Linked DNA regions of Stegostoma tigrinum. The protein of the gene in region 1 interacts with the protein of each later gene in a pairwise test. Links are inferred from orthologs where the notes say so. Each region holds a gene or a part of one and is shown on either strand. Other genes may lie near its edges.

The links. The genes of interacting proteins can lie anywhere in the genome.
Region 2: the proteins of eef1g (region 1) and ech1 interact in a two-hybrid assay, tested with the Homo sapiens proteins (2 studies listed by BioGRID and IntAct). The link is inferred for Stegostoma tigrinum from reciprocal best matches to the Homo sapiens genes EEF1G and ECH1.

The regions. Positions count from the first base shown.
Region 1 is NC_081395.1:5,755,209-5,762,712, reverse strand, and holds the start of eef1g (elongation factor 1-gamma), read right to left. Parts: upstream 3,257-7,504; 5' UTR 3,168-3,256; coding exon 3,156-3,167; intron 3,030-3,155; coding exon 2,871-3,029; intron 1-2,870. Other genes in the region: transmembrane protein 179B-like, read left to right, coding at 7,401-7,496. UniProt on the Homo sapiens protein: Probably plays a role in anchoring the complex to other cellular components.
Region 2 is NC_081392.1:7,500,845-7,508,894, forward strand, and holds the start of ech1 (delta(3,5)-Delta(2,4)-dienoyl-CoA isomerase, mitochondrial), read right to left. Parts: upstream 3,447-8,050; 5' UTR 3,361-3,446; coding exon 3,324-3,360; exon of another isoform or gene 3,320-3,323; intron 3,294-3,319; exon of another isoform or gene 2,491-3,293; coding exon of another isoform or gene 2,466-2,490; intron 1-2,465. UniProt on the Homo sapiens protein: Isomerization of 3-trans,5-cis-dienoyl-CoA to 2-trans,4-trans-dienoyl-CoA.

The DNA of each region.
Region 1 (7,504 bases):
CTGACTCAAATATAGGGTCACTACCACTGCACCACAAAAGGCCCCCTCTTACAATAAAACCCCACACACATACTGAAAAGGGTGGCAGAGGTCAACTGATACTGAATGGATATGGCAAACAAGAGCACCAGGCCATCAAGTCCCTTGAACCAGCTGGACAATCCATGCCCACTCATACTGCGGACTCAGCTCCACCTTGTCTGCCCACTCACAACCCTTGACTCCATTGTTGATCAAAAACAAAAATATATTCAAGGCTGAGATTAGCAGCCAGAGCCAGACCCCAACCCTTGGAGGAAATGCCCTCAACTCCATCGTAAACAGAAGACCCCCATATTGTGGAGCTGCGCCTTCTTCATTCCCCTTCCCAGAATTTTCTCAGAATCCGCCCCATCAAACCCCTCTCACAATCTTGAGTGTTCCAACAAGATCACCTCTCATTCTTTCAAACTCTTGAGTAAAGGGCCAACCTACTGAACCTTTCCTTCATCTCAGGAATGAGCCAAGTGAACCTTCTTTGAACTGCATCCAATGCAATTACATTCCTCTTTAAGTAAGGAGACCAAAACTGTACACGAGACTCCAGGTTCAAGCTCACCATTACCTCGTACAGGTGTGGTGACACTTCCGCACTTATATTCCACCCATGCCTCTAACCCCCAGGTGCCCATTATTGGGGGATGAAGTGCAAATCACCCACTGAATAACAATGGAATAGACTCAAAGCACCAAATGGCCCCCAGTCTACAACTGAGACGGTTCTGACTGCAGGGAGAGAGTGTTGTTACTTGAGCCACGCCGACAGCAGGCTGCACATAGCACAGTCATTCATCCGTCACTAACAACTAGGTTCAATTCACACTCTCGCTGACATGTTGCTGACACCAACAGATTGCCCTGATCCAGTGAGGTCATGGCAGCATCAAGCACTATCCCTGCTCCTGAGCCTGCCAGGATTTGAGACAGGCAGGTCCACTCGACGTCAGACAATCCTGCTCCACATCCAAACAGCCAAAATGTGAGACTCCAATAATTCGGGATTGGTGTGCTGGCAGGGATATACATTAAAAATCACTGAAAAATGGGGGCAAGGAGTGAACAGTAGCAAACTCCACACATATTTAAAATCTGTGACACGGCCCCCCACCACTGAGAAGGGCAAGGGGAGCAGATAAATGGGAGTACCCTCCAAGACACATCACAATAATTCAGAAATATATCCGTTGATCCTACATTGTTGCTGGATCAAAATCCTAGAACTCTTTTCCTAACAAAACCGCGTATGTCCCTACACTCCACAGACAGCAGAGGGTCATGAGAGCTTGCCATCGCCTCCTCCAAAAGGCATTTAGGCCAAAAAAAAGACATGGTGATGGAATATAATACCATACAACAGAGAAGTGGACAGTCCCCCTTCCCCCAATAATCCCTTCACAGCAGGGCTGAATATTCAAGACAATCTTGTTGGATCTGTACAAAACTTTAGTAGGGACACACTTGGAGTACCATGTGCAGTTCTAGCTGCCCTACTATAGAAAGGATATTATTAAACCAGAAAGAGAGCAGGAAATATTTACTAGGATGCTGCCTAGGCTGAAGGTTTGAGTTATAAGGAGAGGCTGGACAAGCTGGGGCTGTTTTCCCTGGGGTAGGAGACTGAGGGATGACTTTATGGAGGTCTATAAAATCCTTGAGGCATTGATACAGAAGGTAGCCAACAGCTTCTCCCCATGGGGAGTCTAAAACTACAGGGCACAGGTTTAAGGTGAGAGGAAAGATACACAAAAGGGTCCAGAGAGGCAATTTTTTCAACACAGTGGTCAGTGTCTAGAATGGGCTGCCAGAGGTAGGAGTGGACGTGAGTACAATTTTGACATCGAAGAAATGTATGGGGAGGGATATGGACCAAATGCAGGCAACTTAACTAGATTAATTGCAAAAACTGGGTGGAATGGTGAAGGAGGACCAAAGGGCCTGTTTCCATGCTGAAAACCTCCATGACTCTACAGTGACGGTATTGTTTTGTAAGTGAATGAAAAGTGATTTACTATTGGCGTGATGGCAGGTGGGGGGGGAGCGCAGCAGGATGGGGGAGCAAATTAAGGGTGGGCTGATGGGGGGGGGATTAAGTGTGAGGATGTGGGCGATAGGAGGGTATCGGTGCTGGGGACAAGGGGGGAGTTGGGGGCGGGTGAGGATGGAGACATAGGGGCGAGTGGCAGGGACGGAATGGGGGGGCAGGGACGAATGGGGGGGGCAGGGACGAATGGGGGGGGGGCAGGGACGAATGGGGGGGGGCAGGGACGAATGGGGGGGGGCAGGGACGAATGGGGGGGGGCAGGGACGAATGGGGGGGGGGGCAGGGACGAATGGGGGGGGACAGGGACGAATGGGGGGGGACAGGGACGAATGGGGGGGACAGGGACGAATGGGGGGGGGGGACAGGGACGAATGGGGGGGGGGAGACAGGGACGAATGGGGGGGGGGGACAGGGACGAATGGGGGGGGGGGACAGGGACGAATTGGGGGGGGGACAGGACGAATTGGGGGGGGGGACAGGGACGAGATTGGGGGGGGGGACAGGGACGAATGGGGGGGGGGACAGGGACGAATGGGGGGGGGACAGGGACGAATGGGGGGGGGGACAGGGACGAATGGGGGGGGGACAGGGACGAATGGGGGGGGGGACAGGGACGAGGGGGGCAGTGAGGGGGGGTGTGTGGAGAGGGGTATCGGGGTGGGGAGGCAGGGGGTGATTTGGAGGTGGGGAGGCGAGGTGTTACGGGGATGGAGGGGGTGGGGGGTGGGTTGCGATCTCCCCTCAGCCCGGGGCTTGCTCCGGATCCCCTGTCCCGCCCCGACAGACTGACCTTGCCGAGGGGGAACTTGTGCAGGAAGGCGGCGCTCCTGTTGGTCTGTCCGAAGGTGAAATGCGGCGGCCCGCTCTGCAGCCGCAGCTTGGAGCCGCTGTACTGGGCGGCGATCAGCGCCTTGTAGGCCCGCCAGTTCTCCGGGTACGAGTACAGGATCTGCGGGAAATGAAGGCACACGGCTCAGTGAGAAAGGCCCGCCGAGCTTTCGGGACCGCCAGCCGGGTTCGCGGAGCCGGGATGGCGCCGATACACCGCGGATTGTAACCGGGAGCCAGCACTTACCCCGTCCGCCATGTCGCCGGGGCGCCGAAGAGAGAGAGAGCCGCCTGACTGACGGCACTGTCGTAAACCCAGGGGGCGTGGCCTTTGTGATGATTGACAGTAGCCGACCACCACCCCTAGACTGAACCAGAGCTAAAAGCTGGAGAGATAATGGGAACTGCAGATGCTGGAGAATCCAAGATAATAAAATGTGAGGCTGGATGAACACAGCAGGCCCAGCAGCATCTCAGGAGCACAAAAGCTGATGTTTCGGGCCTAGACCCTTCATCAGAGCTGGAGAGACAGGATCATCAGGACCATGTCAAAAGCTCCAAAAACTTCTCCCTAGACAACAAGGTGTAGAGCTGGACGAACACAGCAGGCCAAGCAGCATCAGAGGAGCAGGAAAGCTGATGTCTTGGGCCTAGACCCTCTTCAGAAAGGGTCCAAGTCCGAAACGCCAGCCTTCCTGCTCCTGTGATGCTGCTTGGCCTGCAGTGCTCGTCCAGCTCTACGCCTTGTCATCTCAGATTCCCCAGCATCTGCAGTTCCCGCTATTTCAAAACCTTCTCCCTGACTACCTCTGCCTGCTTCCAGCTGTGCGTCTCCTTCCTCTGGGCAATGGGTCAAAAGGCAGGCATTTGGGAAATAGGCCATGTGCCACAGGACTGGAGGGTTTCAGCTGCAGGGAGAGTCACAGAGAGGCACAACACTGAAACAGAGCCAGGGACAATAAGGACCACAGATGCTGGAAGCCAGAGTCTACAGGTGTGAGGCTGGAAAAGCAACCTGGCAAAGGGTTTTTGGCCCAAAATGTTCACCTATGTGCCCCACCGATGCTGTCTGACCAGCTGCGCTTTTCCGGCTCACACCTATAGTAAACAGACCCTGCAGTACAACTCACCCATGTTGACCAAATATCCTAAATTAAGATAGTTCCCGTTTGCCAGCATTTGGCCCATATCCCTCTAAACCCTTCCTACTTAGATACCCATCCAGATGCCTTTTAAATGTTGTAACTGTACCAGCCTCCACCACTTCCTCTGGCAGCTCATTCCATACATGCACCACCCTCTGTGCGAACAAGTAAGAGGTTCAATAGGCTGGGGCTATTTTCCCTGGAGCATCAGAGGCTGAGGTTTATAAAATCATGAGGGGCATGGATAGGGTGAAGAGCCAGGGTGGGGGAGTTCAAAACTAGAGGACATAGATTAAAGGTGAGAGGGGAAAGATTTAAAAGAGACCTAAGAGGCAACTTTTTCACAAATAGGAATAGGCACATGAATAGGAAGGGTTTGTAGGGGATACGGGCCAAATGCTGGTAAATAGGACTAAATTAACTTAGGATATCTGGTCGGCATTGATATGTTGGACCAAAAGGCCTGATTCTAAGCTGTATATCTTTCTGACCCTATCAGCCCTAATATCATTGAATGGCAGAACAAGCTTGAAGGGCTGAATGGCCTACCCCACTCCTTTCTTCTGCTGTTTTGTTGTTTTGCTGTTAGGTTACGCCAGGCAGGTGGTATCAACATAATTCCATTTGGAACAGGAAGCAATCCATTCGGCCCATTCATTCCTCTCCCACCCCCAAATACTCCCCTTTAAAAGCTGTGCCCAGCACGAGCCCTCCAGCCCTACATTCCCACAACCGTCCCCCACCCCACCCCTTGCCACCCCAGAACCCACACACCCACAATGTAGAGGATACCACGGTATATGAGGCTATGGAGCAAATGCTGGAACAAAAAGAGAAGTTGCTGGCGAAACAGAGCCGGTCTGGCAGCATCTGTGCAGAGAGAGGCTGCATTAATGATCTGGTCTAGTGACCCTTCTTCAGAACTTCTGACCGCAATGTTCTGAAGAGTCGCCAGGGTGAGGATCCGCGGGAAGTTTTATTTGTATGCTAAAAAATGGGATTAAATGGGTGGCTGTTCGATGGCCAGCACGGATACAGCGGGTCGAAGGGCCACTTTCTAACCCATGAAAACTCCATGAATCAATGATTCTAGGAGATGGTTCTCTTCAAGTGGAAAGTTCCTCTTCCAGATTCAGAAGACAGCTCACTCTTTGCGATCCTCCAAGCGAGAAGAATGTGGATGCCCAATCACTGTGTGTGTTCATGGTTTCTAGCTGTAAAAGACATCAAGGAATATGGGGAGCATGAGGAAAATGGTCCAGACGTAGATTGGCCATGATCTCGTGGAATGGTGGAACAGGCTTGTGGGACTGAAGACCTTATCTCTGCTCCGTTTTAGGGTTTATTAGAACTGTGCGCCTGGTTGCAGCTTTGCTGATTGACTGTTCAGGAATCAGAGAGCTGAATTGTCCAGAATTTCCATGTTCCAACACCTTCCATTTGTACCTGTTCACATGTCCTGTCCTGTGGCAAAGCCCTCTCCTGCTGAATCTGTTCATGCTGACGGAGAGGCACATTGTTGGAGACTGAATCATTTTACTGCTGTCTGCAAGGATAGTCCTGAGCTGATGGTGACAATCGAAAGACTGTATTTCTGACAGTAAAGAGCTCCCTCAGCACGGACCCACTGACAGAGCCCAGTCCCTCAGCACTGACCCACTGACAGTGACCGCTCCCTCAGCACTGACCGTCCGACAGTGCCCGCTCCCTCAGCACTGACCCATGGACAGTGCCCATTCCCTCAGCACTGACCCTCTGACAGTGCCCGCTACCTCAGCACTGACCCACCGAAGTGCCCACTCCCTCAGCACTGACCCACAGACAGTGCCCGCTCCCTCAGCACTGACCCACTGACAGTGCCCGCTACCTCAGCACTGACCCACTGACAGTGACCGCTCCCTCAGCACTGACCCTCTGACAATGACCGCTCCCTCAGCACTGACCCTCTGACAGTGCGGCACCCTCTCAGCACTGACCCTCCGACAGTGCCCGCTCCCTCAGCACTGACGCTCCAACAGTGTCCGCTCCCTCAGCGCTGACCCTCCGACAGTGCCCACTCCCTCAGCAATGACCCTCCGACAGTGCAGCACTGCCTCAGCACTGACCCTCCGACAGTGCCCGCTCCCTCAGCACTGACCCTCCGACAGTGCCCGCTCCCTCAGCACTGACGCTCCGACAGTGCCCGCTCCCTCAGCACTGACGCTCCGACAGTGCCCGCTCCCTCAGCACTTACCCTCTGACAGTGCGGCACCCTCTCAGCACTGACCCTCCGACAGTGCCCGCTCCCTCAGCACTGACGCTCCGAAAGTGTCCGCTCCCTCAGCACTGACCCTCCGACAGTGCCCGCTCCCTCAGCACTGACCCTCTAACAGTGCCCACTCCCTCAGCAATGACCCTCCGACAGTGCGGCACTGCCTCAGCACTGACCCTCCGACAGTGCCCGCTCCCTCAGCACTGACCCACTGACAGTGCCCGCTACCTCAGCACTGACCCACTGACAGTGACCGCTCCCTCAGCACTGACCCTCTGACAGTGCCCGCTCCCTCAGCACTGACGCTCCAACAGTGTCCGCTTCCTCAGCACTGACCCTCCGACAGTGCCCGCTCCCTCAGCACTGACCCTCTAACAGTGCCCACTCCCTCAGCAATGACCCTCCGACAGTGCGGCACTGCCTCAGCACTGACCCTCCGACAGTGCCCGCTCCCTCAGCACTGACCCACTGACAGTGACCGCTCCCTCAGCACTGACCCTCTGACAGTGCCCACTCCCTCAGCACTGACCCTCTGACAGTGCCCGCTCCCTCAGCACTGACGCTCCAACAGTGTCCGCTTCCTCAGCACTGACCCTCCGACAGTGCCCACTCCCTCGGCACTGACCCTCCGACAGTGCAGCACTGCCTCAGCACTGACCCTCCGACAGTGCCCGCTCCCTCGGCACTGACCCTCCGCCAGCGCCCGCTCCCTCGGCACTGGCCCTCTGACAGTGCCCATTCCCTCAGCACTGGCAGTGCGTTTCAGCCTTAAGGCTAGCCTGTGGTTCCCAGACCCCCCAACACAGAGAGGTGAGCCCCACTCCCCGGGCACGCAAGTACCCTACCCAGCGGTGACACTGTGCAGGAAATAAAATCAACAACTTTTGTGCCATTTCGTGCGTGAACCCCTGGGAATGCAAAATGCAAAGTGAGCTTTGCAATTGGCAAATTGGAGAGTCTGGGGGTTGGACTGGCTGTGTCATTCAGCAAATGAATGTCAGGTGAGGGAAGGGGCTGTACCACGAACACAGATCCCCTCCCCTCTGAAAACTAAAACTTCTTGCAGTTCCGTGTTTCTGTGATCTGTGTTAGGAACATGGCGTTTTCTCTCCTTCTGTGCCTGGAGTTCTCGGTTTACGCAGCGGCGTTTATTTGTGGTATTGTCAGCGCTGCTCTAGTCACAGTTACCCAGGTAGGGAC
Region 2 (8,050 bases), on another chromosome or scaffold:
TGTTATGGGAGGCGCCACAAACTGAAAATCCTTTTTAACAATATTGTGAAGTGGAGATCCGATCACAACAGGTTTCATAGTTTCATTGCAACCCCAAATTCCACTCTGGTGCAAAGATGCAGTGGCGAAGGAAGAAACTCATGAGAGGAAATCCAACCACATCAACCCCAATTCCAATTACGACTGTGTGATATCAGCAGAAAACTAGCTGGTTTTTAGTGCATTTATTTCCGGCATCGCTGATTGGGCCAAAATTTATTGTCCATCCCTAAATGCCCTGAAGAAGGCAAGCCGTATTATGGATAAGACCAAACCCCTCAAATTATTTTAAGAAGGTAGACCCTAACTTTTTCTTATTTTAAAGGCAAACATGAAGGGCTATGTTCCGTTGTAATGGGACTGGTCAAATATAGAACATAGAACATTACAGCACAGTACAGGCCCTTTGGCCCTCGATGTTGTGCCGACCTGTCATACCGATCTCAAGCCCATCTAACCTACACTATTCCATGTACGTCCATATGCTTGTCCAATGACAACTTAAATGTACCTAAAGTTGGCGAATCTACTACTGTTGCAGGCAAAGCCTTCCATTCCCTTACTACTCTCTGAGAAAAGAAACTACATCTGACATTTGTCCTATATCTTTCACCCCTCAATTTAAAGCTACGCCCCCTCATGCTCGCTGTCACCACCCTATCCATCCTATCTAACCCTCTGATTATTTTATATGTTTCAATTAAGTCACCTCTCAACCTTCTTCTCTCTAATGAAAACAGCCTCAAGTCCCTCAGCCTTTCCTCATAAGACCTTCCCTCCATACCAGGCAACATCCTAGTAAATCTCCTCTGCACCCTTTCCAAAGCTTCCACATCCTTCTTATAATGTGGTGACCAGAACTGTACACAATACTCCAAGTGCGGCCGCACCAGAGTTTTGTACAGCTTCACCATAACCTCTTGGTTCCGGAACTCGATCCCTCTATTAATAAAAGCTAAAACACTGTATGCCTTCTTAACAGCCCTGTCAACCTGGGTGGCAACTTTCAAGGATCTGTGTACATGGACACCGAGATCTCTCTGCTCACCTACACTACTAAGAATCTTACCATTAGCCCAGTACTTTGCCTTCCGGTTACACCTACCAAAGTGCATCACCTCACACTTGTCTGCATTAAACTCCATTTGCCACCTCTCAGCCCAGCTCTGCAGCTTATCTATGTCTCTCTGCAACCTACAGCATCCTTCGTCACTGTCCACAACTCCACCTACCTTAGTGTCATCTGCAAATTTACTAACCCATCCTTCTCATCCAGGTCATTTATAAAAATGACAAACAGCAGTGGACCCAACACCGACCCTTGCAGTACACCACTAGTAACTGGTCTCCAGGATGAACATTTCCCATCAACTACCACCCTCTGTCTTCTTTCAGCAAGCCAATTTCCCATCCAAACTGCTATATCTCCCACAATTCCATTCCTCCGCATTTTGTACAATAGCCTATTGTGGGGAACCTTATCGACAGCCTTCCTGAAATCCATATACACCACATCAACCGGTTTACTCTCATCTACCTGTTTGGTCACCTTCTCAAAGAACTCAATAAGGTTTGTGAGGCACGACCTTCCCTTCACAAATCTGTGCTGACTATAAATATTTGACATTAAGCAAAAAAAAATTTATTTAAAGCCTATAGTTAAAATACAAACAAAATGAAGAACTTATAATAACGTAGCTCTATTGGATGACTTAACCAAATAACAGATGCGTAACTATTATTAACTCACTGTTCCGATATGTAACACCCCACAAACACAACCATTGGTGAAAGGGGAAATTCAGAAATATATTCTCACAATCCAGGAGGAAAGAAACATCAAGAGAAAATTCAAAGCAGCCAGGAGACATTTACTGAAGCTTCCAACTCAATTGAGACCCCAACAGTTTCTGATGCTATTGAGAAACCAAAACCCAGAAATCCTGATCTGAGAGAGCTGGCTGCATACGTTCAATGATAATGGGAACTGCAGATTCTGGAGAATCCATGATAATAAAACGTGAGGCTGGATGAACACAGCAGGCCCAGCAGCATCTCAGGAGCATAAAAGCTGACGTTTCGGGCCTAAACCCTTCATCAGAGAGCTGATGAAGGGTCTAGGCCCGAAACGTCAGCTTTTATGCTCCTGAGATGCTGCTGGGCCTGTTGTGTTCATCCAGCCTCACATTTTATTATCTTGCATACATTCAAGCTGTTTTTTAAAACAAAATCCAAGGTCTCCCAAGTTGTTTACTCAAGCAGCCTTCACTAACCACTTCAGAGCCTCTCATTCAATCTCTCTCTTAAAAGAAACCAGGACAAAATAACATCTTAAAGCCACAGCATCATCACACCTTCTTGAATCACTGTAGTCTATGTGTGGCGTAGGGACACTGATCGAAGCAACTTCTAGAATTTTGACTCACTGATGCTGAAGGAACAGCAACACATTTCCAAGTCTTACAGGTGACACTTCCAGGTGGTAAAGGATGTAGGTTTGGAAGGTGCAGTCATTGCAGTCTGGGAGAGTTGCTGCAGCGTATTCCGGAAGAAATGCACGCTGCTGCTACTAAGTGTCAGTACTGGAGGGATTTGGAACGTGGTGCCAGGCTCTGTCCTGGACGGTGTCGAGCTCCTTGAGTGTTGTTGAAGCTGCAGCCATCTAGGCAAGTGTGGGGTATTCCATTACTCATGGAATTTGACTCGACTTATGCCTTGTGGATGGTGGGTTCTGCTAATTATTGTCCAGGCCATGAATGCTGAGGGAGATTGAGATTCTCTTGTTACTAGGAAAGTTGCAGGTCAAGACTTTCAGCCTTAGCCAACTGCCAGGCTCTTCCAGGCAGCAGTAAACTTCCTCTCACACCCTCCCACAGTGTACTCTCCTTTTCTTTAAAAATCCCAGATCATTAACAAAAACCCCAATGTTTTTATCTGCCCCGCACTGTACAGTAGTTAACTGTCTCACGGTATGGAGTGCCCAGGTTCGACTCCGGCCTCGGGCGACAGCGGGCAGTTTGCACATGCCTGGGTGGTCAGCTCTTTGGAGGGTCGGTACAGACTCGGTGGGCCGAATGGCCTCCTTCCGCCCGATTGAACCCCCAAACCAGGGATAGTGCCCCACTCGCACGGACTTTATTTGGTTCCGAAGGCTTCCTGGCGCCTCCGCAAAACTAAAGTCCGCTTCACCCTGGGAGGCGCTGAACCGGCGGCTTAACCGCACACGAACCAGACGTGTCCCCCAGATACCGCCCTCCGGCCACAAAAGCCCCGGACTCACTCACAACCGCTCCGCAATCCCGCAAACAGCAGGCCAGCCATCAGCCCCCCGCAACAGCAATCTGCGACCGTGACATACAGCGCCGCCCACGGCCCGGCAGAGTCACTGCGGTACAGCGCCACCCACGGCCCGGCAGTCACTGCGGTACAGCGCCACCCACGGCCCGGCAGTCACTGCGGTACAGCGCCACCCACGGCCCGGCAGAGTCACTGCGGTACAGCGCCACCCACGGCCCGGCAGTCACTGCGGTACTGGGTACAGCGCCGCCCACGGCCCGGCAGAGTCACTGCGGTACAGGCTACAGCACCACCCACAGCATGGCATAGTCGCTGTTGTAGTACAGCATATAGCGCCACCGACAGCCCAGCATAGTCGCTGCACCATAAAACCACACAACATGTCCAATAGAAACGAGGTAGAGAAGAATAGAGGTAACGTGTATCCTCGAGCCTGAGGATGGTAATATTGACAGAAAATGGATAATTACAACTTAGGGTTGGGGGGAAGGGGTTAAAAAGTGATCATCAAAATTGATTGAAAGCTTGGAAGTAGAAATGAGATTCTGTTCCTCCATTTAGTTATGAGCTTCATTGGAACATACTGCAGCAATGACAGCAAGATGGTGTTGAAAAGGGCGAGCAATTGGAAGGGCAGGATCATTCTTAGATAAGGTGCACTGCTAAACAGTCACCAAGCCTGCATTTGGTTGCGCCAATGTAAAAGAGACCACATGTAAATAGGCAACAGTAGACTAGATTGAAATTTAAAGCACTGATTCAGCTGGAAGGTGTTTGGGCCTTGAACAATGAGATGGGAAGACGCAATTGCAAGAGGCAGTGTAGGGTCAGAAGGGAGAGAATGGAGATGAGGAAGTGTTAGAAGTGATGGCGGGGAAGAGAAAAATCCCTACAACGTGGACATAGGCCATTCAGCCCACCAAGTCCACGTAGACGCTACCCCTACCATCGCTGTGTAACCCTGCATTTCGCATAGCTAATCCACCTAGCCAGCAATGTCTGCAGTGTGCAGAAAAATTAACATGAAAAACCCATCTAACCTTCACATCTTTGCACCATGAGAGGAAACCCACTAAGAAACAGGGATGGTGTGTAAACTGCATACAGTTGCCCAACAGTGGAAGTGAACTTCTGGTACTGTGAGGCAGCAGTGCTTACAAGCCCAGCCTTGGACCTCAGACAGATGCAAATGAGTCGAGGAGAGTGACTTGACACAGTCAAGCTGACTGTGGGAGTTAGTAGGTTTGTAATGGATTTAAGGGCACAGCATATCCCCAGAAATGCAAACAGTAGTCAAGGAAGGGGCAAGGATGGACTAAATGAAGTTAAATATGGATACTGAAAACTAACATTTATTTTACCAATTCGGGACAAACTCAGGAAGCAGCAATAATGCAGTTATTGCCATACTAATGAAGAGTTGAGAAAATATGCCGAGTACACATGTTCTACATACCCTACGAGAGAGGCAGGTATAACTGGGACCCATAGCCACTCCATTCAATTGGAGACAGAGTTAAGGAAGAAATAGTTACTCAATGGGAGTATGTATTTTTCACTGCCCTGATTAAGTGAGGAGACTTGAAAATGAAAAATGGTATCAAAATAAAAGAATAATGCAACATTGAATGGAAGTAAAATCAAAGTGAGGAAAATTTTTTATTAAAATTCAAAGGCTGAAGTGTCAGGAAGACAGCTAGCTACAAAATCTTAAAAGTAAAAAAGTACAATGAGAAAAGTTATGCCACTGTTTGTGCACAGAAAGCAGCGGAGGCCAAAATACTGAGTGTTTAAGGAGGCAGATACAGTTCGCAGAGCTAAAGGGAATCAATGGCACGGGGGAAAGAAAAAGCAGAAACAAGGTATGGAGTTGGAAGATCAGCCAAGATTGTATTTATGTGTCAAAGCAATGCAAAAGTAGTGTGTGAAAGAAATGCAAGACTGAAAAAGCCCAAAATGTTTAACAAGTAGAACAATTAAGTAAAAGATTCAATGACCTAAAAGTGCCAGAGAAACAGGTAAATAACTGCACTGCAAGTGTCTTAAACTGAATAAACTTCTAGCCCTAGGCAGCACCTGATGTAATATGGTAGAGGCAGCTTTAATGTAAGATACAATGGAGTCCAAAAAAAAGGTCTTGGTAAAACAACAAGGCACTCATCAGATCAACCTAGAACATACAGTCAACAGCTTTAGGACCCTCATCCAAGAAAGCATATCGTGGCGTTGGAGGCAATCTAGGAGGTTCACAAGCTTGTTCTCAGGTACAGCAGGGATTATCTTATGAGGTGTTGTGGATTTCAGGCCTGCACTCATCGAAATATACAAGATTCCTAGGGGAGTTGACAGGGTAGATGTGGGAGAGTCTAGAACTAGAAGGCATACCATGGTAAGGGATTACCCAGTTAGGGCAAAAATGAGTATTTCATCTCAAAGGGTAGTAAACCTATGGAATTCTTCAGAGCAGAGAGGGGGGAGGCCAGGTCAATAAGTATATTTGAGGCAGAGGGATTTTTAAACCAGCAAGGGAAGTGTATTAGGGAAAATGGAGGAAAAGGATGGTCAAGGATTATCAGATCAGCCATGATCTTGTTGAACAGTGGAGCAGATTCAAATGAACTGAAATGGACTTCTGTTGTATCTTATGGTCTTCAAAACTCCACCCTCACCAGCCAGAAATCACAATACGGGAGCTAGCCTACAGCTACAACTCAAAGGGCTGTCCAAGTTCAGTATGTTCAAGGCTCATCTAATATTTAGATATGCAGGCAATCGAGAAAGATGGAAGGTGAAAGACAAAAAGGTAGAATTGAAGTTTAAAATCTGCTGTGATTGTACTGAAGGACAGATTCGCTCCCAAGGGACAAACGGTCCAACGCTGCTTCTATTCTGTGGAAGAGGAAAGTTAATATTTCAGGTCAATGGGACTTTTGGCAGAATGAGAAAATACTAGGAACATCTTTAAGTATAGAAGCAGAGAGTGTTGGTGTGAAGTAACAAAGGGAAGATCTGAGAGAAGGTGGAAGATGAAATTAAAGTGACAAAAGGAATGAATTGTTGCACATTAGACAAAATGTGGAGAGGGTGTGAGTGTGCAAACAGAACTATTAACACTATTAAAAGAACATTTTGAACTAGTTACACACACTGCAGAACTCACTTTAGTCCACATATTCGTTGGGTGATTACTTAAAAGCAAAGTGCTGTCCCTTGAATTTATGGATAACTTTCATTAGCACTTTCAGACTAAAGGACAGAGGTCAGAGAGAGAGATTGATAATTGAAACAGTATGCCTGGAAGCTCAGGGTTCTGCTTGTAAGCACAAATTCTATGCAAAATGATCACCTGATTTGAACCAAGTGGTACTACAGTGCAATGATTTCAGAATATCAAACTGAAAGTAAATACACAGTCAACTTGAATGAGGCCACAAAAAGGACAGGTGACATCACCTGTGTTTTCATGGGACAGTACCAAGAGTGGTTCCATAGAGAACTGAATCAAAATGCCATGCACAAAACTGACCTTTCAGGTTTTCAGGATGAGTGAAGTTAAGGCACTTAGGATTTAATTTAGTTAAACAATTACCTTGTGTTGTAACCATGCTGATTTTTTTTCCAAAATAAACCAAGTGGCCACAAGGTTGTGCCACAGTACCTAATTGGCCACCGAGAAGTCAGAGTAGAGTAATGTTGTTGGTCGACATTAAATGGCAGAGACCACGTCTGTTAATTTTTTTTTTGGGGCTGAAAAATTACATCCCCACTTGACCATTATGTGCAGCCTGACAAATCATTACTAGATGGTGACCAATAGTCACTGGGAGGTTTGCTTTTATTTAACCGAAAGTCACTGCCCGTTAACAAAAAGCAAGACTCCCAGTTAGACATACTGCTTGCCTGACTTGTCACCTTGGAGGTTTCATGGAGCCTCTCAAATCAAGGTGTTGCACTGACATAGTCAACATTATTTAAAATCATATCACACTGGTTCAGACAATCGAAGGTGGTGAATTTACCACTGGCTAAATAGTTGATCATTAAACTGCAAATACCAAATTGATCAATTGTAGACATGAATGCAACTTGGAGGGTGTGACATGGTTACCACTACTAAGACTTGGCTGTATGTGGATAAGGCTGTAAGATTAACAAGATGGGGAAGCATGGAGCAGCTTTAAGAAATAAAAATCACAACCATTGAGTGGAAATCTTCTTCCATTTCCTACTTCTGCAAAGTAGTTGTACAAAGGCTGATAGTTGCAGTGAAATAGCTGGTATAACTGCCGAGATTAAAACAACAAAAACAAAAGTAGCAAAGCCAGATGGGTTTTAATGGGAAGAGTTTGAATGTTACATATAGTTAAGGAAACTAGTCAATAATGGGATATACCAAATTAGCTACACAATAAGTAAGGTCAGATTTAACAATGTGAATATAAATCAGATGATCAAAAATTAGTGCTTGAAATGGGTAATTATGAATGAATTGAGAATCTAGATTTAGATAAGATGAAGACAAGGGACTGTTTGTAGTTAAAATGGCAAGTCTAATCTGTTGATGAGTAACAGATCAGGTGTTCAGAAGTGCTTTGTGACAACCATTTACACCAAGAGTGCCACTTTCTTCAAAAAAGGACAGCACCGGACAAGAAAAGAACAAAGTTTAATAACACTCCTGGCAAAAGACAAAGACAGTATCAAAAAATTTTGT